3 linked regions of the Diceros bicornis minor genome follow. The protein of the gene in region 1 interacts with the protein of each later gene in a pairwise test. Links are inferred from orthologs where the notes say so. Each region holds a gene or a part of one and is shown on either strand. Other genes may lie near its edges.

Region 1 (7,816 bases):
TTTAAAATAAATTTCCTTCCTTTGAAAATAATTTTTTAAAGAAAATATGTACAGACATCCAGCCACTTGATTTGTGCAGAGGCCCGTGCAAATCATTGGGGGGAAATGGTCTTTTCAAAAAACAGTCCAAGAGCAACTGAATACTCACATGGAAAAAATATTCCTATCTTATACCACCCACAGAAATTAATTCAAGACCTAAATGTGAAAAGAAAACAAGCTTCTAGAAGAAAAGAGAAGAAAATCATCACGATCTCAGCAGGACTCAGGGGCGCTAGCCATACAGGAAGACAATGGATAAGACGAGACTGAAGTCTTGAGAGGACGCGGGGTGGAGGGAGGCGATGACGAAGGGAGTGCTGGGGTGTGTGGGGAAGCGCCCAGCCCATCCCAGGCACCCAGAGAGGGCAGGGTGTTTGCAAAATCGGAGCAGGCGGCCAGCAGAGCTGAGACGCGAACCAGGGAACCAGGAGGGGCTTCTGACTTGTCCAATTCTGTACGCCCATTCTGCAGGTGGGAAGACGGAGGCCCAGCACCTTTCCAGGGTCCCCAGGGCACCCAGGAGAAGACCCAGGCGCAGCCCTGTCCCTCCCCCCGCATAACCCCAAGACCCACCTGGGTCAGATGTTGCTCAGAAGCAAAGCCCAGGCCGTAGACAGTGTTGGCACGACTGTCTGCCCACTGCCCAAACTTCTGGGAGGTTTTGGTAAAGGTCATGTTGGGGGTGACAGTGCTGTTGATGATGGCCTGGGAAGGGGGGAGCAGAGTTCAAGGTTGGTGGGACTGGTAACAATGGACATGAAACCCCCACCACCACCCGGCTATCACTTTGTATTAGCACCGCGGAGGTCCTTGCTCTGAACTATTTCAGGATGAAGGGAAGAGGCCCAGAAAGGGTTAGGGCTCCTCCAGGCACAGAGCAAGGCATCGACCAGACCCAGGCCTGTCACTCGGACCCCTGGCACCTGCCGCCCCACCCAGGCCCCGCAGGGACCTTGGCACCCCCGATGCTGATGATTCGGTAGACGTTGCGGGTGGCATCATAGAAGTAGGAGACGGTGAGCGCGTGCTTGCCCGCTGGGATCCAGTTCCGCTTGGTGGCCGGGTCGATCTGGAACACATGCGCCCGTGTGCTGAAGATGGGCTGCTCCCTGCACGGGGAGAGGGTGCTCAGTGGGGCTGGGCGCCGCCCAGGGGGCTCAGGGCCAAGCAGGTGGAGATGGGGGCTCACCTGGCTGTGGACATTGGTCAGGTTGAGCTGGGCGGGCTCCAAGAGGCAGCCAGGGGGATGGCAGAAGCTGCTGGCTCCACCTCTGGAGGGAGAGGGGGCCTGTGAGTGTCCCCCACAGGCCAGGCTGAGGGAGGCCAAGCAGGTCCAACCTCAGGACCCACCACCAGGAGCACCATTCACAGAACTTCAATCAAAAAGGTGAAGGACTCAGTAGATCACTCAGAACCAAAAAACCGGTCTCTCTCCATCTGGAGGAAGCCCCCACAACACCCTGGGCAGGAGACGGCTCTCTGAGACGAGCTGGGGCCCCTGACATCCCAGTGTAAACCTCTCACCGGCCCAGTCACTGGACCCCAGTGAAGCCCCCTCAGTCTCAGAGCTGGGCTGAGGAGGCCAAGGCCAACTCCCGCGCAGTACTTTCTGCCACATTCACCCATCACTCCCCAAACCAGGGCACCATCAAAAAGTGGGGCACAGCCAGGGGCCTACTGGGAAACCAGTCTCCCACTGGGCTCAGAGAGAGACCTGAGCTTCCACTCTGGGGCAGAGGCACACCTTAGAGACAAGGTCCAATGCTCAGGAAGCCTCCAGCTTCGTTAAAAAGACAAGATGTAACCAAAAAGGTCCACCCTGCTGCCTACCGCCAGACCTCCCATGCCACTCAATCCCGACACCATGGGGGGCCGGGCGGGATCCAGATCCTGGAGGGACCTGGGGGAGGGGGAGGCAAAGCGGGGGGGAAGGGAGGCCCCGGCACAGCCCTGTCCTGGGCAGCTGCTGTCCCGGTCACAGGGTCTGAAACCCGAGCCCCTAGGTGGAGGAGGGGCGGCAGCTTCGGCGGGGTTGGGGGTGGGTCCTGGGTTGGGGCAGGGCTCCCGGCGCCGGGGTCCCAGGAACTCAGGCCCTTCCGGCACCGACGCTTCTGCCGCGACCTGCGGCGTTGGCGTTCGGGGAAAGTTACTCACCAGCTAGTCATGCGCCTCGGCCGCGGGGCTCCCGGAGGGGGCCCGACCCTGCCCGGTGCCGGGGAGCCCCAATCGCGTGCGGGGGCGAAGCCCCACCCCATGCGCCCCAGTGCCGGGGGCCTGACAGTCAGTCAGGATCGAGTCCCCACCGCCGTCAGGAGCGGGGCGCCCCGCGCGCGCCCCAACTTCGGGAGGCGCGGCTCCTGACCCCGGAACTTCTGAGACCCCCGCGACGCACCCCGACTCCAGGTCCAGAACTTCGGGGGCACATTATCTGCCTCCTCCAACTCCAGGTCCAGAACTTCGAGGACCCTCCGCGCCGCCCCCGACTCCTAAAGTTCGGGGACCTTCTGCCACCCTTCCATCTCCAGGTGGGGAATTCCGGGGTCCCCTCGTGCCGCCCCCACACCCACGGTTCGGAACTTAGGAGACACCTTCGCAGCCTCCTCCAACGCCCGGTCCGAAACTTTGGGAAGCCCTCGCACAGTCCCTTCCCGACCCCGACTCCGGAACTTCGGGGCCCCGGCGCCCCCTCAAGCCCTGGAACTTCGGGGCTCCCCGAGCCGCCCCCAGCCTCCAGGTCCGGAACTTCGGGGACCCCCGGAGCCCTCCCCCGGCCCGGGAACTTCGGGGGCCCCGCGCCCCCGCGCAGGCTCGGCGGGCCCGGCTCACCCTGCCGGCTCGGCGCCTCGCGAGTGTCCGGGAGCGAGTCGGGTGCGACCCCGCGGCGCCGACTCCCCGCTGCCCGGCGCCCCGCTCGCTCGCTGGCTCCGGGGCCCGCGCCCTCCGCGCCGCCCTCCGCGCCGCCGCCCGCGCCTTTGTCTGCGCCGCCGCCGCCGCCCGCGCCGCCTCCGGTCCCATCGCGGCGGGTCCGACGCGGCCGCCGCCCGCCCCGCCTCCCCGGGCCCCGAGGCCGCCCCGCAGCGCCCCCTGCCGGCCCTCCGCGGCGCGGGGGAGGGGGTTCAGGGTGGGGAAGGATAGGGTGGGGAAGAAGGATGGGGTGGGGGTGGGGGCAGAGACACAGGAGACGACAGACAGACAGACAGAGATGGACAGTGGGGAATGTGGCTTCGTTCTCTCGTCAAGGGTGACCCCGACACTCCAGGTCACTGCTGCCTTCTGCCCCTGATGGGAGTCAGGTCCCTGTCCACCTGAGGGGCGTGCAGGGACAGAGGCACATCTGCCACTTTGGTGGGTGCAGGGCCTGCACACAGTAGGTGCTCAGTGCATGTTGCCAGGAAATGAGAGAGACCTGGGCAGAGAGGGGGCGGGAAGAGGCTGAGAGAAGCAACCAGTAGACACTTAATGGGGCTTGATCTTGGGTGCCCTGCTCAGAATCCTTCTTGCCTGCCCTCCCGCCCAGCCCTGATCCCCCAGGCTCAGGCTTCTGTCTGCCTCTCTCTCCCCTGAGACCACTGTAGCAATGCTAGTGATGGTTAGATTACGATGACTATCGCTGTATCCCAGGGTCCCAGAATCCAGGGCGGAGGGAAGGTGGGTGTCCAGTTCCCACCGAATGGGTGAATCCCCTGGAGGTCTGCGGGCCTGGGTTTCCACCTCTGGTTGGAGGAGCCCAGCCCTCATACATTTGCCAGGAGAGGCTCTTTCTGCAGCTGAGCCGGAATCGGCCTCCCCAGGCCCCAGCCTGCCTGTGGGGCCCACTTAGTCGCGAGGCTGCCCTTTCTCCGGAGATTCCTCTGGGGCCACACAGAGTCGTCTGCTTGGTGGGCAGCGCACGGGGCTCCTCAGAACCGGCCCGCAGTTCCCTGAAGCTCTGAGCCTCAGGTCTGAGCTTTCCAACACCCTTAGGGGTTTTGCTCTTCATCTGCTCTGCCCCTGTCCCCTTTCCCTGTTCTTTTATTTCTGTTCCTCCTGACAAGAACCACACATCTGAGCTAGGAGCTGCCTTCATATTCCCGTTAGGGAATTCCAGGTCCTGGTGTTTCTGGAGACTTATTCCCAGGCCAAGGTCTGAATTTTGCTCCCTCCAGGCCTTTGCCCAAGCTGTCTCCTCCCCATGGAGTGCTCTTTCCACAGGCATGTATTCTTCCTTTCCTTCCAGGCTCAGCTCCGCTGCCCCCTCTCCTCCTGGAAGCTTCTCTGACTCTCCCAGGCTTGGAAGGGATCTCACCCTCCCCTACTCACAACCCCATCCCTTTCTGTGGGATCCCTGGTCTGTGTTACCTGGTTATTACTTCTGGGTACTCCTGGAGGGCCAACCCGTCCTGGAGCCCCAGCCTCACCCGGCACGAGAGGGACTGCTTACCCCAGCTGGGGAAACTGAGGCACAGACTCAGTTTCCCCAGCTGCTTCTAAGTTCACAAGGCATCTGCACAGACAAAGGATTTGGCTTCGCTCTCAGGCCCAAAGCCACAAAATGCTTGAACATTGTGGGGAACAAAGAAAATACCGTCTGTTCTGTGCAAAGAGTGACTTTTCCTTATTACCAAAAAAATAACCAAAAAAAAAAGTAACTGGAAAGGTGCCGGCAGGGTCGAGGCTTCTGGAAGCCACTCAGGATGTGCTGAGTGCTGGCCGGCTGCAGAGCTGGGGCCACGTGGCCATTCTCTGGGGGTGGCTAGGCCAGGGGCCCGGGCAGACTTTCCTGCGTATGTGGGCAGAAGGCAACAGCATGAGGGAGAGTAGGGCCCCCTCTCAGACCTCTGGGAGTGGCTGGGACAGGGCTAGCCTTGAGCAGCCCTGACCTGAAGTTGTCGTAGTCAAGTCCAGACTGAAGGAACGGCTTTATCAGTGTGGATCTCAGTTTTCTTGCCCGGACAATGGTCTGATGCTTGCAGGGCTGGGGGTGGGGGAGGAGGCAGGGAGGAGCCAGGCAACAGCAGCAGCTCCTCACTGTCCCCTGGGTATCGATGGGTGGGGGCTGCCCTGAGCTGCAGCCCCCTGCAGCCTGAGCCCTCTGCTGCCTGGGGATGTCCTTGCAGGGTGGCAGAGGCCATCACCACAGGGTGGCTGGCTAGAAGCAACAGCGTTCACTTGGGGCTGAGGAAGGCATGAGGGAAGGAGCTCCCTGTCACAGGAGGGACCAAACAGGGACTGGAACAGCTTGCTCTGCTCTAGGGAAGCTGCCCTTGCAGAGTGGCTCTTAGGGGTCAAGCTCTGTCCTCTGCCTACTTCAATCTGACCCAACCTTTGGACTAAAGCTAAATCGTCTGTCCTCTCTGGGGAGCTGCTGTCCCACCAAATCAGGGTAAGTCTGTCACTCTTCCCAAAGCCACCTGCCCAACGATGTGGCACAGGTCACAGTGGCCGCTTAGACCTGTTGTGTGTGATTTGGTTACTGTCCACCTCTTCCACGGCTCAGCACCTAGAGCAAGTCTGACCTACAGCAGGAACTCTGTAAATGCTTCCAGAAGGCGAGGAGCCCTAGGCCCCAGCCTTGGTTTTTGGTGGTCCAGAGTCACATGAGCCAGGGAGTGAATCCTAGCCTTGCCTCTTACCAGCAGTGTGACCTTAAGGAAGCCACTTTCCCTCTCTGTGCCTTAGTTTCCCCATCTATAAAATGGGAATAAGAATGGTGCCCACTTCTGAGGTTTGCTGTAAGGATCCAAGGAGTCCTTGCGTGAAGAGGCGTGACTCTAGGAGCTTAATAAATGCTTGCCATTATAAACATTGTATTTATTCTTGGCTGTCCAGCATGTGGTATTGATCCTGGGCCGAGTTCTTAAGATTTTCTCTTTTAGGAGTTGAAGGGTCCCAGCCAGGCATGAACTCTTGAGGACAGAAATGGGTCCAACCTGGCATGATATCCTCTAAATCTTTAGCTCTGAGGCGCTTGTGCCCCTCCAGCCATCTTCCTCCTCTTTCTCCCCCTTCCCCCAGCATCGTCAGTTGGGCCAGCCACCAGACCTTGTCCTCTTGGAAAACTCCTATTTATCCCTCAAAGCCCTACCTCCAATGCCCTCTTCTCCAAAAAGCCCTCCCTCCTCTCCCTCTGGACTCTTCCCAACACCCTCCTTCCTTCTGGCCAAACCCTGACCCCAAAGGCCTGGTGGCGTCTGTGTTCAGCTCTGACCCCCAGCCTGAGGGCACCTGGAAGTGTGCAGGCACTGAGGAAGCCTGGCTTCCCTCGGGCTTGGCATCTCCCAGCATTGGATGGACACATTGGGGTCATGGCAGAGGAGAGTTCGATGACTCAATACTGGTGAGTTTTTATCATTTGACAGGGACCCCACCTTAAATTTAGATCCAACCCAAGGCCAGGTTTAATTCATTAAACAAACAGCTCCCAGGAAGTGACAGAGCCAGGCCCCTCAGGCCCAGGCATGAAGGGGCTAGGGGAGGGTTTGGCTCTGGGTTATGGACTTGAGCTCCCAGGACCAGGGCGGGTTGGGGGTGGGGGAGGCCATCCTCGAGCCCCCTCCAAACTCCGGACCTGGATCTGCGGTTCGGTTCCCACAGACCTAATTACCCTCATTTGCCACATGCACTAATTACCTGCACCGTGCCAGGTGGCTGGGCGGGGCTGGCCCACTTTGGGGAGGTAGGTCGGAGCCCGATTATTTTTGGCTATGTCGTCCTTGAGGGCTCTGCCATCTGCCTGCGTGAAGGGCAGAAAGTGGGGCAAAAGAATTGCGGCCACATCAGGAGGGACGCTGGGAGACTTGGGGGTCAGTCGGGTTGGCCCAGGAGCTCCCTGAGCAGGGAGACTTGAGCCCGAGGCCTGAGGGTCTTTGGCACCCACCTGGAGGCAGCAAGACCTGGAGGGGCTGAGAATCATCTAGCTCCACGGTGGACTGGTCTGGAGGCCTGTTTTAAACGTGGCACCATTGGTGGGAGAGGGCCAGGGTGCAAACCTCACTCCCACCAACTTGATGCATGTTCCTGGACACGTGACCTTCTCTTTTTGCACCTTTCCTGAGGGATCAAATGAAGATAATAACTTACAAAGAGTGCTCTGGGCAGAGGGCACAGCATGTGCAAAGGCCCTGAGGCAAGGATGGGCTGGGTGTTTTGGAGGAACAGCAGGGAGGCCAGGATAGCCAGAGCAGAGTGAGTGGGAAGAGAGTAGGGGGCACTGAGGGCTAAGGGAGTCACAGGAGCCAGGTTGGACCTCATGGGCAGTGGTGAGGTGTGTAGGCTTTGTTCTGAGTTAGGATTCACCTCTCTAGGTGCTGGGGAGCTATGGGAGAGTTTGGAGCCAGAGAGAGAGGGAAGTGATCAGCTTTACACTTCAGGCTCCAGGCCAGGGTTTCAGCTCTTGGGAGAGAACTAGATGTCTGTACATGTGCAGAATGGGGATAGACTCTCCCTTTCTCTGAACCTCAGTTTCCCCATCTCGGGTAGAGGCCTGAGGCTTGGACAGCCCCAGGACACACTGGACCCTCTGCCCAGGATGCTCCCCTCTGCCCAAACTCCCAGATTCTGGCCCAGCAGCCTACATGGCCTCCCCTTCACCTGCCCTCTCCTCCTACTCTCCTTCTGGGGCCTTGACGGAACAGCTGTGGGAACAGAGAGCGGGAGGCCTCAGGGAAGGCGGCACGGAGGGGCTCCGGGGGCCGTGTTCCTGCTTGCTGGCGGCCCACACAGGGCCGCTGGGTGCCGAATGTTCCTGCAGGAACCGGCTGACTCAGATGCTGCAGTCTCCTCCCTCGGTCTGCTG
Region 2 (7,036 bases), on another chromosome or scaffold:
CCCTCCTAGGTAGAGATCTAATAGTTGATGAAACACATTTTGCCCACAAAAAGATACAAGCAATGAACATTCTTTATGCATAAAAGCCCCAAACCAGAAACAACCCAAATGTACATCAACAAGTGAATGGGTAAAGAAACTATGATCCATCCGCACCGTGGAACACCACTAGAAAGGAAAAGCAATAAAAGATTGATGCACACAACATGACAGATGGATCTCAAAAACATCGTGTTCTTTGTGAAGATACTAAAAATCACTGGACTGCACCCTTACAAAAAAGAGTGAGGGGCTGGCCGGGTGGCGTAGCAGTTAAGTTCGAGCTCTCCGCTTTGGCAGCCTGGGGTTCGCAGGTTTGGATCCTGGGCGTGGACATACACACCGCTCATCAAGCCATACTGTGGCGGTGCCCCACATACAAAATAGAGGAAGATGGGCACGGATGTTAGCTTAGGGACAACCTTCCTCAGCAGAAAAAGAAAAAAAAAAAAGAAAAGTGAATTTTATGGTATGTGAATTTCAATAGAAAACAAAACATGTTGAGTGAAAGAATCTGGACATAAAAGAATCATAAAGGGCCGGCCCCGTGGCTTAGCTGTTGAGTGCGCGCGCTCCGCTGCTGGCGGCCCGGGGTCGGGTCCCGGGTGCGCGCCGACGCGCCGCTTCTCTGGCCGTGCTGGGGCCGTGTCCCACGTACAGCGGCTGGAGGGAGGTGCAGCTATGACATGCGGCTATCTGCTGGGGCTTTGGGGGAAAAGATAAATAAAATTATTAAAAAAAAAAAAGAATCATAAAATGATTCCACATGGTATGAAGTTCAAGAACAAACAAAATTAATCTATGATGATAGAATCTGCAGAAGGAGGTTGCAGAGGGCACAACACTTATGCATGGGGGAGTGGACTGGGTGCTGGCTGCAGGGGTGTATACATATATAAAAGTTCATGGAGCACACCCCAAAAGATCTGCGTACTTCACCATGTGTAAGTTACATCTCCATCAAAATAATAATTAAAAATAAAAGACATAACACTTTACAAAGTGGGAGTCACCTGTGTTCACCTCCCCAACCCCATTCCCCTCCCCCACTACAGAAACAACATCCTAAATAAAAATAATGCTACCAAACAATTACTGCTCCCCTATTCTATGCTTTACAAGAATTATTTCATTTAAGCTCCCAGCAACTCTATGAGGTAGGCACCACTACTATCACCCTGTTTTACAGATGAAGAAACTGAGGCACAGGGCAGTGAAGTGACTCGCGCAGGGTATCCCTGTCAGTGTGCCTGGGCATCAGGATGGGAACCCAGGTGGCCTGCCCCCTCAGCTGGGGTGCCAGGCACACTACCAGCCCACTGCTCCAGACCGGTGTGCTAACTAGATACATAGTTTCACTTTCTGTTTTTTAGTAATTGCTCTAAAGTGTATGAAACTGTGACATTTTTTCTACTTGCTGTTTTATCTCCCTTCAACACAATGTTTTGGAGATTAGCCTTGTTGATACATTCAGCTCTTCTGGTGTCAGAGAAATCTACTTCCAGCTCTTTCTCTGGCCCCTACTGGGGGAGACTTGGTTTGCAAAGAGCCTTCCTTATCTTTTGAGAAGCACAATCCTCATTCAGTCCCTCCCCTGCCAAGAATCTGTCAGCAGCTCCACAGTCCTCAGGGTCACGCCTGAACTCCAGGAGGGGCCCGGCCCCTCCAGCCCCACCACCCACAGCCTCTGGAGCCTGCCCCGACTCCAGGCGATCAGCAGTAAGAACGCCAGCAAGTTCCTTCATCCAGCAGCTCTCTATTGAGCACCTTCTTTTTTTCTTTTTTTGGTGAGAAGGATCAGCCCTGAGCTAACATCCATGCTAATCCTCCTCTTTTTGCTGAGGAAGACCGGCTCTGAGCTAACATCTATTGCCAATCTCCTCCTTTTTTCCCCCCAAAGCCCCAGTAGACAGTTGTATGTCCTGGTTGCACATCCTTCTAGTTGCTGTATGTGGGACCCGGCCTCAGCATGGCCAGAGAAGTGGTGGTTGGTGCGCGCCCGGGGTCCGAACCCGGGCCGCCAGCAGCGGAGCGCGCGCACTTAACCGCTGAGCCACGGGCCGGCCCTTGAGCACCTTCTATATGCTAGATCCTGTTCTAGGAGCCGGGGACCCAGCAGTGAACAAGACAGTGATCCCTGCCCTCAGGGAGCTGACATCCTTCTGGTGGAATCAGACAAGAAAGAAAAATAGTAGAGTCAAATTTATTAAAATTTGCAAGAAAGAAAAATCAAACTATGTGAGGGGTAGACTTTGGGAGGGAGGGGTGGGCGCTTGTTTGAGGTGGAGATGCAGTCAAGGAAGACTTCTCTAAGAAGGTGACATCTGAGCAAAGACGGAAATGAAGTAAGGAAGAGAGAATGCCAAGATGAGAAGGAGAAGCCTTGCAAGCAGAGGGAACAGCCCGTGCAAAGGCCTTGAGGTGGGAATGGCATCGGCACATTTGAGGAGCAGCGAGGAGGGCGCGTGGCCCGAGTGGAGTGAGCGAGGGCAGTGGGGTGGGAGAGGAGAGCAGAGGCATCAGGACATGCCGGCTTCTCCCTCACCCACCTGCAGGTCTTTGCTTCTGCTGTTCCTTCTACTAGACACCCTTTTCGTCTTTATCCACTTTGCAAATTCCTAATTTGTCCTTCACAACTCAACCTCAGTGCCAGCCCTTCTGCCTCCTCCACAGGGGCGCGGCTGCCTCCTCAAGGCCTCCATGGGTCTGGGATACCTTTCTCCTGACACCTCAAACTGTGTTCACTCATTCATTCTACAAAGATGGAGCGAGCACAGGCCAGACACTGGGCAATTTCAGAGAGGAGTGACATTTAAAATAAAAAAACAGGGCCATGGGCCAGATACAACACAACATAGGGATTCCCTGGGAAAGTCTCTCAGAGGACATGACATTTAAACAGAGACCTAAATGATCAGAAGAGGCCAACTTTGGAGAGATGTGATGGAGGGGCATTCCAGACCAAGGAATAGCCAGTGCAAAGGCCCTGTGGTTGGAAGTAAGGTGAGAACACTTGAGGAACAGAGGGAAGGCCAGCGTTGCTGGATGGGGAAGAAGGGAGCAGAGGGAAATGCAGCTGGACAGGTGGGCAGAGGCCTGACAGGACCAGCTTGTGAGGGGTGGGAAGTCTTTCCTAAGAGCTCCAGAGAGCCAGGGTCAGGTCTTCCAGCAGGTAGAGGCAGGGGGTGGGCTGTGCTTTAGGGTTTCCAAGGCCCCAGAATGGATTAGAGAGGGGCCAGCGCAGCTGCAGGGAGGTGCTGGGGCAGTTATCATATTTGATTGAAATTGGACAATTGTACAATTAGTCCTTGGCCTCCAAGTTTCAAACTCGACTCTGTTTCCAGTGCCACCAAAGTCCCCAGTGGGCCTCGATAAATATTCACTGAGTAAACGGATGCGGGAAGGTTGGAGTGAGAATTTGGCAGGGTTCCCCAGCTCCATCCGGGGAGGCAGCCTGGAGCCTGGCAGACAGCAGAAGGCCAGTCTCTGGACAAGGTGGCCCAGGCCCTGGGCCACCTGGGAGCCTTCCTCTGCCACATCCTCCCATCCGTAAAATGGGTGGGCTGGAGAATTAGAGGAAGGTACCATGTTCCTCCGGGCAAGGGCCATTAACATCCCGGCTCCATAATTGGGGTGAGGGGCTTCTCTCTGAACCCCAGGAAAAGGCTCAAAAATCGGGAGCGAGAGAATTAGCTCAAAGGGTTATTTAATTCAGTGGATAAATATTCGAGGAACAGCCAGGAGGCTGATGTGGCTGGAGGGAGTGAGCAAGGGCGAGGGGGGAGGTGGGGAGACAGGGCAGGTGAAGGGGACAGATCGTGCAGCGCCTTGTGGGCTGTGGGGAGGACTTGGGCTTTTACTCTGAGGAAGGTGGGAGCCATGGGGCATCTGAGCAGAGGAGGGGCGTGACCTGACTCAGGCGTTCACAGGCGCCCTTGGGCTGTTGTGAGGCAGGCAGACTGCGAGATCGAGGGAGGAGCCGAAAGACCTAGGAGGAGGCGCCTGCATGGGTCCAGGCGAGCGACGGTGGAGAGTGGTCCCGGCGGAGGCCGCGGAAGGCGTGGGAAGAGGGTGGACTCTGCATCGGCATAATTTCTCCTCCCCTTCTTCTCTCTCTTTCTCTGCTAACCGCCCCCCTCCGAAGAGTCGCCCAAAGGAAGAGGGGAAAGAGAGAACGTCGCGCCCTGGTCTCTGGGACGACGCAAAGGGCGCAGGGCCGCAGGTAACCAAGGTGCCTCAGCCCTGCGCGCGCGGCCGGGTCCCTGGAGGGCGCCAGTGCGCAGGCGCCGCCGCCAGGGCGCGCTCCCCGCCCTGCGCCCCGGGACCGCGGTTTGGCTCAGTCCCCGCGTTTCTAAGGGATCGGGGTCGGCCACGAGCCAGCTGCACGCCCCGGAGACCCTGGAGAAGCTCCTCGGAGGCCTCCACCCTCCGCCTCCGCGTGGGCACGAGTCTGCATTTATGGAGCGCCGCCTGCATGCAGCAGCCCCGAAGAAGAGGCTGCTCCCCATCTTACAGCGGGGAGAACTGCGGCTCAGCCACAGGGCCCACCGCGAGTCAGCGACGCAGCTGGGATGCGAACCCCCTTTCATAACGACAATAACGTTAGAAAGGACAGCAGCTGACGTCTCTCGAGCGCTTACCGTGTTCTCAGCACTTGCGTGCAGTCTCATTTACTTTCATCCACACCCGAGGGGTAGGCGGGAAAAGCCTCCCTGTTTCCCAGATGAGGCGCTCGTAGGGTTTGGGGCTCCCCCAAGGCATGGGGCGCCGGCATTTGAACCCCGATCTGCCCAGAGCTTGTCTCCAGGCAGTGGGGAAGCTCCCGTGCCGTGAATGCGTCCTTCCCAGGACGCCTGAACTGGCAAACGCGGGGGGTGAGTCGTTTTTGCTTTTTGAGGGGTCCCGGGAGGCCCCAAAGCCTCCGCCGCTCCCCGCCTTAACGTGGCTCACTCCTCTCTCGGGGTTCCCGCGCGCTCAAACAGGGGACCCCCGCGGACGCAGGAAGAGGCCAGGGCGGGGGGCCCTGCAGGCGGGACCCCGCAGCCCCGGGGGCCGCCGGGAGCCGCGCCCCCTCGCCCCGCCCCCTCCCCGGGCGCCGACCTCGCGGTCACGTGACCGGGCCCGGCGGCCGCTGGGGCCGGAGGGCGCGGCGCGCGGACGCGGCGGCCAGGCCAGGCGGGGCCGGAGCCGAGCAGGCCGGAGCGGGCCGCGCGGGGGCTCGAGCCGCGCCCGCCCTCCCCGCCGCGCGCGGCGCACGCGCGCTCCTGCGCCCTCCCTCCGCGCGGGGACCCCTGGCGGGAGGCGCGAGGACATGGCCAGCGATGCCGTGCAGGTAGGCGCACCTGCGGCCGCCCGCGCCGGGCCCCCCGCCCGCGCGCTGCCGGGACCCCGGGCCCGGGCGGGGTCTCCCGAGCGCCCGGCGCCCCCTCCCTGGGCGGGCACGGCGGGGCCCGCGGGGCCCCCTGCGCGGCAGGTGGAGGTCCGCACGGGGGGGAGCGGGAGGTCCCGCCGCACCCCAAACTCCGCCCCTCCCTGGGAATTAGAGGGGGCGCGCGGAGGCTCGACTTGGGGTGTCTGCGGCTGGCTGTGCGTCCCGTGCCTGTCGCCCCGCCACTCGCCCCCTTCCCCGGCGTCCAGGTCCTGGTTCCCGGCAGGTGCCGCTGCACCTGGGGCAGGTGCCTGGCGCGGGGCCCCGGGAGGGGAGAAGGACGCCGGCCCGTGCCCCTCCCCCGCACAACAGAGCTCCAGCGCCCCCACCTCCGGACTGAGCTTTACGGTGGTCCCGACGCCACCAGATTGGCACCTGTTGGCAGAAGTGCCCGAGTCACCTCATTAGGTCGGGGGACGAGGACCCACACGGCCATCCTCCGGGCTGCCAGGTGGAACCTTGTCCCAGGTGGGGAGTGTCCAGGTCAACAGACTGGGGATTTTCTGCTACCTGGCATCCTACCTGGGCATGGGTGACAGGACTGGGTCACCCCCACGCACACACAAACACACAGAGGCACAGGTGACTGTCACCGACCTGCCGCCCAGCCAGGCTCTCCCTGTGCCATCTCGTGGACATCACAGCCCTGGACTCACCTTCCCCATCTGTGACAAGCAGGGCCAGGGTGACTTCTGACCTTCTGTGGTTCATTGCCCCAGTCTGAGACGTGTCCTGTGCCTGTAGTGCCCCTGATAGTGCCTCACCGTCCCTCCGTCGTGTGGTTGCCATGTAACTGGGTTCTCGTCTCCTTCTGCACCTGCCTCCACCCCCTCTGTGTCTCCCCCGTGACCCCCTGTCCCCCGCCTCAGTCCTGCTGATGGCCTGCCAGCCTTGCCGAGGAGCTGGGCGTATCTGGTGTTGCCGATCACGCAAGGTCAGACCTTGGGGCTGGTGAGGGCCGGGGTCCCTGCGTCTGCCTCGGCCCTGGGGGGTGCTGTGCTGGATTCCCCCGGCACATGCATGCACTTGGTGGGTACGAGACATGACCTGGACCGAGGCTGTGATTCCTGGAGCCGGGCTGGACCCGCACCCTGGCCCCCTTTCCCATCTCTGGCTTGCTCTCTTCTCCCCTCCTGATCATCTTTTTCTCGTGCCTGCTTGGGCCTGCTACCCTGTCCCTCTGTCTGTCCCGACGTGTGCCTATCTGTTCTGTGTCCAGCAAACGGATATCCTGTCCAGATTCCGGAAACGCCCAAAGCATTGAAATCTCCGGACGTGGGGGTCTAGGTCCCTGGCCGCTCTGGGAAGAGGGGGATTCTGGGAGGTGGGCCCTCTGGACCTGGAGTCTCCTGCTTCGTGGTGGGAGAGGAGGAGCAGGGATCCTCCAAGGCTGGGCTAGGCCCCTGATTCATGGGTTCGCCTTGCTGGCCCTCAGGTGACCCCTGCCCTCTGGGCAGGAGTGAGTCACCCAAGAGAAGAGAACACAGGAGGCCGGGCCTCCCTCTCTCCCTCCCTGCTCTGTGTATTTTCAGGCCTCCCCTCAGAGGTGGGGCGGGGGAGCCTGCTCCT
Region 3 (7,535 bases), on another chromosome or scaffold:
CCGCCTGCCTGCCTTCACTCTGGCTTGGCTGCCCCAGATTTCTAAACTGTTGTTGCTATACGTCAACATGGCACCTAGGGCTCTAGGAGCTGCTTGGGGGAAAAGCTACGCACATCTAAAGGAGGGGCTAGGTGTCCTGATAGGAACCTTGGCTACTTTGTAGCAAATGGGGCAAAAGGGAGCTTGCGGAAAATGGCAAAGAATCATTTTTCACTCAAGCACCTGGGAACCATAAATTCCATCTCACCCTATCCCCAAAATTCTTTTTTTCCTTATGTTGGCACTTTGAAATCTAGAAATTTTTAAATAGTGGAAATTCAAATTGCGATAACAGAACACGAGGATTCACTGTGATGCCACATTAAAAACAACAACAACAGGGGCCGGCGCGGTGGCGCAAGTGGTTAAGTGCGGGCACTCCGCTGCGGCGGTCCGGGGTTCGCCGGTTCAGATCCTGGGCGCGCACCGAGGCACCGCTTGTCAAGCCATGCCGTGGCGGCGTCCCATATAAAGTGGAGGAAGAGGGGCACGGATGTTAGCTCAGGGTCAGTCTTCCTCAGAAAAAAAGAGGAGGATTGGCATCAGGTGTTAGCTCAGGGCTGATCTTCCTCACAAAACAACAACAACGAAGGAATAAACTTACAGGGATATGTGGCAGCGTAATTGTCACTTCATCTCCTTTGCCAACCTGAAGCTCTCCTTCACAGGAAGTGTCTATAGATGCTGGTTTAAAGTCATCTGAAGAGAAAGGAATAAAAGCATTTATTTACCAGGTTACTTATACTAAGGGCTTCCTGGGCATACTCACTTTAAGAGTTAAAATTTTTTTATTACTCAGGTAAATGGAAAGTACTAATAATTTAGAATTTATTACAAACTATTGCATTGTGCAGAACTTCACATATGCAAAAGCAGAGAGAAGAGTACAATGAGCCCCTGTGTACCATCACCCAGCTTCAATAATTACCAACTCAGGGACAATCTTATTTCATCTATACCTCCACATACTTTTCCTCCATCCTCACTGGATTCTTTTGAAGGAAAAAAAAAGCTAAAATTTATATACCATTTTATTAAGCAAAGACATTCTCCTCTCCCAAGTGATAGATGAAAATTGATGCCTTATTATCCATAATAAGGTGTTTTATTAGGGTTGTTGTGAGGATCAAAAGAAACTGAGCATATCAAAAGGATTCTGTAATAGTAAAACCCTATATGAAATATGAAAGGCCACAGCATCATATAAGTGACTTCATTTTGCACAGAAGTGTCAAAGTTAGGATTTGCCACAGTCAAGTTCCATAGCTTTAACAAATGCTACGTCCTGCAGATGTCTGGAGCAGACAGTTGAACTGTATCTCCAAGGGTTAAATCCTGCCCATGTTGCTGAATTGCAGTTAAAGTACAACATGAATAGCCATCTTACTCCATTTTAACACACACCTGCCTCAAACTGAAGGCCAGGTGCATATGTGAAGTCTCATTTAAATTCCACATTGCCCTTTACCCTACTAAAACATCAACTTAGTAAACTGCTCAGGAGATGATGCTCTTATCACATTCCCAACATCCTCCCTCTTAAAGAGCTGATCTGCTGTCAGTAAGAAGCAAAGTAATGGCGTGGCAAGTGACCATACAAAGATGGAACTTCATTATCTAACACGCCCTCTTCCAAGGTGTTGAGTCACATCTATTAGCTCCTTTGACTAAAACAAGTCTCACCCAGCATTACAGCTACCAAGACGGGGAAGCAAGAGCTTGTGAATCACAGACGGATGCTCAGTCAGCCAATTCCTAACAGCCAAGTCTTTACCCAGGACAGAGTGGAAGTGCCCTCCCTCAACAGTCTCTAATCATGTAGAAAAAGAAGGTTCAGCGTAATGACTAGCTTGACATTCCTTACGCGTGCTCTCTTCTGCCTCCAAACATAGAGCAAGCTTTAACTTACTCTAGGCTCACAAATTCTAATTTTATTCTTCACACAAGAGACTTGGTCCAGAGGAAAAGTCAGGGTAGTACAGGCGACCTCAAAAGAGGCAGGGAACGCAGACGGAGGAGGACTGCTGGGCGCAGAGAGGATGCCGACTCTGGCTGCAGAGGGGATGCAGCGCAGGGTCAGGGTGGCCAGAACTAAGACGCACGAGGAAGGAAAGCTGAGGCAAATGGCAAGGAGAGAATGGAATAGGAGGAAGTGGATGAGGCTCACGAGCAAACAGGAGTCCTTTACATGTGGAGAACCCTGGTGGGTAATCCGAACGCGGAGAGGATCAGAGAGAGAAGAACTTGAGTCTGATGCGGGGTCACAGGCTTCCGGTAATAAAGAGGGGGAAGGTTGGGCACAAGGAAGGCCTGGGTGGGGGGATGAAGAGAAAGGGGCCAATGACCCTCGGAAAAAGCGTTTGGGACCACGAGGCAGAAGAGGTGTTGGGAGAGACGAAGGGTTTGGTTTGGGAGGAGAAAGCTAGAAAAAAAGGGAGAAAACCGAGGTCCCGGAGGAGCCGGGGTCGGGAGCAGGGAGCCGACGCGGGCAGGGGTCCCTGGGCTCCGACGGGCCGAGGGCAGAGAGGAGGGAGCGAGGCTGGCAGAGGCGGCCGGAGCGGGGGCAGGGAACGGCGGGGCGCGCAGACTTACAGCGGATGGTGTGGAAGGAGGCCCGCGGCCGCTTCTCGAAGCTCTCCCCGAGCAGCAGGCAGTGCTCCTCGCGGTCCAGCAGCGGGTTCGCGGTCCCGTTCATGGCCCCGCACCCGCCTCGCGCCCGCACCGGCGCTCCCCAGGCGCGGCCGCGGCCCGAGCTTCCGGCGCCGGCGTCCGGCAGGACGGTGCTCCCGGGACACCGCTCCGGAGCGTAAGGGGAGCCGAGCCGGCGCCCACCCGGGGCCGGAAGCCAGCCGGTCCCTCCGCGTCGGGGTGGGAGAAGACTCTGAGGAAGCGAGGCGGCGGTACTTCCGGCGCCGGGGAGGGACTTCTGGGTTCGTAGCGGAAGTGGCGGGGGCGGTGCCATGACAACAGAATCCAGCCCGAGACTCTCAGGTCGAGGGTCTCAAGGCTGGCTGTCCCGGGTCGGGGGTTTCCCGCGGCGGCCCCCCCGGCTCGGCGTCCGAGGCCGGGGCGGGCTGAGGCTGAGTGCGCCCGGCCCTGCCCTCTGGGTGAAGCTGGGAACTGATGACGGTGAGCCCGGAGCGCGGCGGAGCAGACCAGCGCGGGGCCGAGAGCCGGGACGGCCGGCTCTCCGCAGGCCCCGGCGGCCCGGGCGGCCCAGTCTATCCCCAGTGTCCTAAGACGGTGGATTCTTGGGACTCTACGCCCGCGTCGCTGGGTCTCTTTCTCCCCTTCGCGCCGTGCCGGCGCTGCGAGGGCTCAGTCCCTGGAAAGCGACGCCCCGTCTGGTTCGCGCGAGCCCCCTGTGGGTGCGATCAGGGGCTCCGACCCCCGGGGCTCCGCTCCATCTTCCCAGGAAAAAAGGAGTCTCCCAGCCTTGGGAAACGATGACCCACTTGTGTTTGGCAGGCGACCACCCGCCTCCGGTTCAGGCAGCTGTTGTGGTTGTTAAGCCACCCCTTTCACGAAAATTGATGAGTCTTTTCTCCCCAAGATTTCTCAGTCAACTCTTGGGAGTGTCCTTTTTCTAAACGAAACCGATTTCTTCTAATAGTTGACTCAAGCTGGCTTGAATTAGAGTTTGGTCCCTGATTGTTCTGGCCGCTGCATGTAAACCCTCTGAAAGCAGGGACCGTGTCTGGGCCCTCTTTGTGACCTCTCCTTGTATAGCGGGCAGAGTTTGGTGTAGAGTCAGCATGTAGTGAGTGTTGGGCGAGTTGAACTGTTTGGTGAAAGAACTGGTCTAGAACCACTAACCAGAATCTCGTTCTTTTTCCTGGAAGGACGTGATGCTGCCTGAGGCGTGAACGCAACCTGGGGAACCGAATTCGAGAAAACCCTGCTTGTGTCTGCAGTATCAACTTGGACTCCTCCGGTTGTTCAGGGATGGAGAATCTTCAGCAGCGTTGACTGTATTACTGTCAACGTATGAGATGGCTTCTTCGCAAAAGAAAGGGCTGCAGGCAAGGATCCTCAGTTCTGAAGAAGAGGAGAAACTGAAAAGAGACCAAGCTTTAGTGTCTGATTTTAAACAACAAAAACTGGAAAAAGAGGCTCAGAAGAACTGGGACCTTTTTTACAAAAGAAATAGTACTAATTTCTTCAAAGATAGACACTGGACCACCAGAGAGTTTGAGGAGCTCAGATCATGTAGAGAGGTAAGCCAATATTACGTCTTATTTGCTGTTCTTCATTTAAAATGTGTGTTAGAGAGGTGCTTTATTGCTTTCCTATGGGGAGTGTAAAGTAGAGAATTTATGAAGCCTGTCGAAATGCTTTGTACCTTAGAGAGAAATATACTGTGTGGTCTCAAGTATTGTTAGCGGTTCCTGGGTTGTTAATACATCGGAGACAGAACTTTAGTGGGCATTTTCCATTTCTTTAAAATCTAATCTGAGCCAGCCCTGACAGCATAGTGGTTCAAGTTCGATGCACTCTTTGGCGCCCCAGGTTCCGTTCTCTGGAGCGCAGACCTAACACCACCCATCTGTCAGTAGCCATGCTGACAGATGGATTACTAGAATAGAACTAGAAGGATTTACAACTAGAATATACAACTATGTACTGGGGCTTTGGGGAGGGGAAAACAAAAAAAAAGAGGAAGATTGGCAACAGATGTTAGTTCAGGGCGAATCTTTCCCAGCAAAAAACAAAACTTCTCAAAATCTAATCTGCAAGCTGTAAATAGTAATTCATACTGAGTGACTTCAGTGACAGATTCAGATTCATAACAATAAGATGATGAGGAACACTTTACCATGGCCCTTTTCTAGAACTTTACATGTGTTCTGTAATTTAAGCCTTATAATAGCACTGAAGTAGGCATTGGTATTATCCCCACTTGAGAGGAAATTGAGGCGCAAAGCTGTTTAAGTGATTTGTCCAGCGTTAGGGGTGGTGCGTGGGGAGGAGTTGGGATTTGAGTGAAGGCAGTTTTGCCCCAGAGCCAGTGCTGTTAGCTGTTATGCTGTTTTCTCCATACCACACTGCTGAATGTTGGACAATAGATGAAGTATCAGTATTAACTTTTGGTTGTTAGTTCAGTTGTTTGTTCTCCGCTCCCTGAGGGCAGAGACCTTGTCTCTCATGTTCTTAACCTTTTAGTTTGGTTTGTTTCTTCCTTAGGCAAATGTAGTATACTGAAACTTTGGATTCTCTTTCCTCAGTTTGAAGATCAAAAATTGACTATGCTTGAAGCTGGCTGTGGGGTTGGGAACTGTTTATTCCCACTTTTGGAAGAAGATCCGAATATCTTTGCCTATGCCTGTGATTTTTCTCCAAGAGCAGTTGAATATGTTAAGGTGGGTGCACCATCCATGTTTTCTGTTATGTTTCTATTTTCTTGGATTTGTTTGACCTGCCCTCTTTACCCATTTGCCCAGTTCCAGTCCTCTCCCTGAAGCTAACCAGCTATGATCACCATGAATATAGTTTTCCTGTTTACATACGTATAGTACATATAGAAATACAGCTTTATTCAGGAAAGTGGAAAGAAATACCATAACAACACCCATACACTTATACCCAGATTTAATGATTGCCAGCATTTTGCCACATTTGTTCTACAGACTTGTTTCTTTGCTGAACTATTTTAAATTACAGATGTCAAGATGCTTCACTCCTAAATATGTCTGCATACATCTTCAAAAAAATAAGAACTTTTTCTACATCACCACAATACACTTATCATATCTAACCAAAGTAACTCTAATCCCCTGATGTCATTAATATCCAGTCCAGATTCAGATTTCCCAAAGTAGTCCCAGGTGTCTTTTATAGCTGTATTTAATCAAGGACTACATCTTACACTTCATTGTGTACCTTAAATCTCCTCAGCCTAAAACATTCCTTCCCTACCCCTTGATCTTTCCCCCACTGACTTTGAGTTTTTGGAGAGCAAGCCATCTTCTATAATGAGGTCCCACATTCCAATTTGGTCTGATTGTTTCTTTGTATCATTGTTTAACTTGTTCCTCTATCCTCTGTACTTCCTGAAAAGTAGAAGTTAGATTTAAATCAGTTGAAATATTTTTGGCAAAAATACTTTAATAAATGATGTTGTGTCTTCCATATTACATTCTGTCAGGAGGCAATAATGTCTGGTGATCTTACTGTAAGTGGTGCTAATTTTGATCACTGGGTTAAGGTAATAACTACCTAATTCCTTCCTTGTACAAATATTTCCCTTTTGCCATTAGCAAATATGTGGGGGACACTTTGGCAACGTGCAAATATTTAGTTTTCTATCAACTTTTTGCAGTTTTAACATCCATTAGACTTTTTTTTTTAGTAGTAGTGTCACATTGTACTATAACTTTCTTCACTCTGTATTATATCTCACAGAGTTTTTCCATCTTAGCACATGTAGGTCTACCACATTTTATTTACCTGCTGTGGTGCACCATATAATGGATATACCATACTTTAACAATTACCCTGTTGATACTTGTGTAAATCATTGCTAATTTTTTGCTCTTACAATTAGGGTTAGTGTAATTAGCATCATACACATGCTCCCCAAAACATATGTATACACTTCTGTATGGCGAATAATAGAAGAAGTAGAATTCTTTGGAGAAAGAGCATACACATTTAAATTTTAATAGATAGTCAAGTTTCCTTCCAGAAAGTTATACCAATTTGTAATTTCATCAATTATGTAAAGATACCTCTTTTTCTATGCCCTCAACGTTTTGATACCAGTCTTTTTTATATCTCTCAAACCTATGGACAAAAAATAATGTCTCCATATTTTAATTTGTTTATTCCTTATAACCAGTGATGTTGAAGACTGTAATATGTAAATAAGCATTGGTTTTTCTTCCGCTTGTGAGTTCCTTTATTCCACGTATATTTATCAAGAGCCTAATATGTGCCAGTCACTGTTCTGAGCCCTGGGGTTAAGTAGTGAATAAAACAGACAAAAACTCCCACTCATGTGGAACTTATATTATAGTAGGAATTGTCTGTTCATAACTGTTGTCCATTTTTCTGTCATTTTTTTTCTAATTTTTAGGATATATTCTGCATATTCTGTTATATTTGTTGCAAATGTTTCTTCCAGTTTATTCAGCGTTGTTTTATGGTATTGTTGTATGACAGGATTTGATTATGTCACATTTGTCTATCTATTCCTTTTGAGATGCTGAGGCTTTATGTCTTGTTTAGAAGTTCAATAGTCACCTATTTTTTTTTTTTTATAATTTGGTTATTTTTTTTAATTAATCTGGAAAAGTTTTCGTCATTATTTCTTCAAATATTTCTTCAGCTCTTGTTCTCCTTTCTCCTTCTGGGATTCCAATTATGTGTATGTTATACCATTTGCTATTGTCCCACAGCTCTTGGATGCTGGGTTTTGGTTTCTGTTTTTTAACTTTTTTTTCTCCTTGCATGTTCAGTTTGTATAATTTCTGTTGTCCTACCGTCAAGTTCACTGA

What was found.
Region 2: the proteins of HOMER3 (region 1) and PKN1 interact in binary tests that used the Homo sapiens proteins (3 or more experiments, as listed by UniProt). The two-hybrid records come from large-scale screens. The link is inferred for Diceros bicornis minor from reciprocal best matches to the Homo sapiens genes HOMER3 and PKN1.
Region 3: the proteins of HOMER3 (region 1) and EAF1 interact in binary tests that used the Homo sapiens proteins (3 or more experiments, as listed by UniProt). The two-hybrid records come from large-scale screens. The link is inferred for Diceros bicornis minor from reciprocal best matches to the Homo sapiens genes HOMER3 and EAF1.

What each region holds. Positions count from the first base shown.
Region 1 is NC_080759.1:6,480,445-6,488,260, forward strand, and holds the start of HOMER3 (homer protein homolog 3), read right to left. Parts: upstream 3,010-7,816; 5' UTR 2,869-3,009; intron 1,314-2,868; 5' UTR 1,246-1,313; coding exon 1,232-1,245; intron 1,152-1,231; coding exon 995-1,151; intron 748-994; coding exon 616-747; intron 1-615. UniProt on the Homo sapiens protein: Postsynaptic density scaffolding protein. Binds and cross-links cytoplasmic regions of GRM1, GRM5, ITPR1, DNM3, RYR1, RYR2, SHANK1 and SHANK3.
Region 2 is NC_080769.1:3,430,179-3,437,214, reverse strand, and holds the start of PKN1 (serine/threonine-protein kinase N1), read left to right. Parts: upstream 1-4,030; 5' UTR 4,031-4,045; coding exon 4,046-4,261; intron 4,262-5,244; exon of another isoform or gene 5,245-5,350; coding exon of another isoform or gene 5,351-5,371; intron 5,372-5,839; exon of another isoform or gene 5,840-6,344; coding exon of another isoform or gene 6,345-6,401; intron 6,402-7,036. UniProt on the Homo sapiens protein: PKC-related serine/threonine-protein kinase involved in various processes such as regulation of the intermediate filaments of the actin cytoskeleton, cell migration, tumor cell invasion and transcription regulation.
Region 3 is NC_080741.1:21,906,348-21,913,882, reverse strand, and holds the start of EAF1 (ELL-associated factor 1), read right to left. Parts: upstream 3,007-7,535; 5' UTR 3,002-3,006; coding exon 2,632-3,001; intron 739-2,631; coding exon 644-738; intron 1-643. Other genes in the region: tRNA N(3)-methylcytidine methyltransferase METTL6, read left to right, coding at 4,032-4,256, 5,265-5,399. UniProt on the Homo sapiens protein: Acts as a transcriptional transactivator of ELL and ELL2 elongation activities.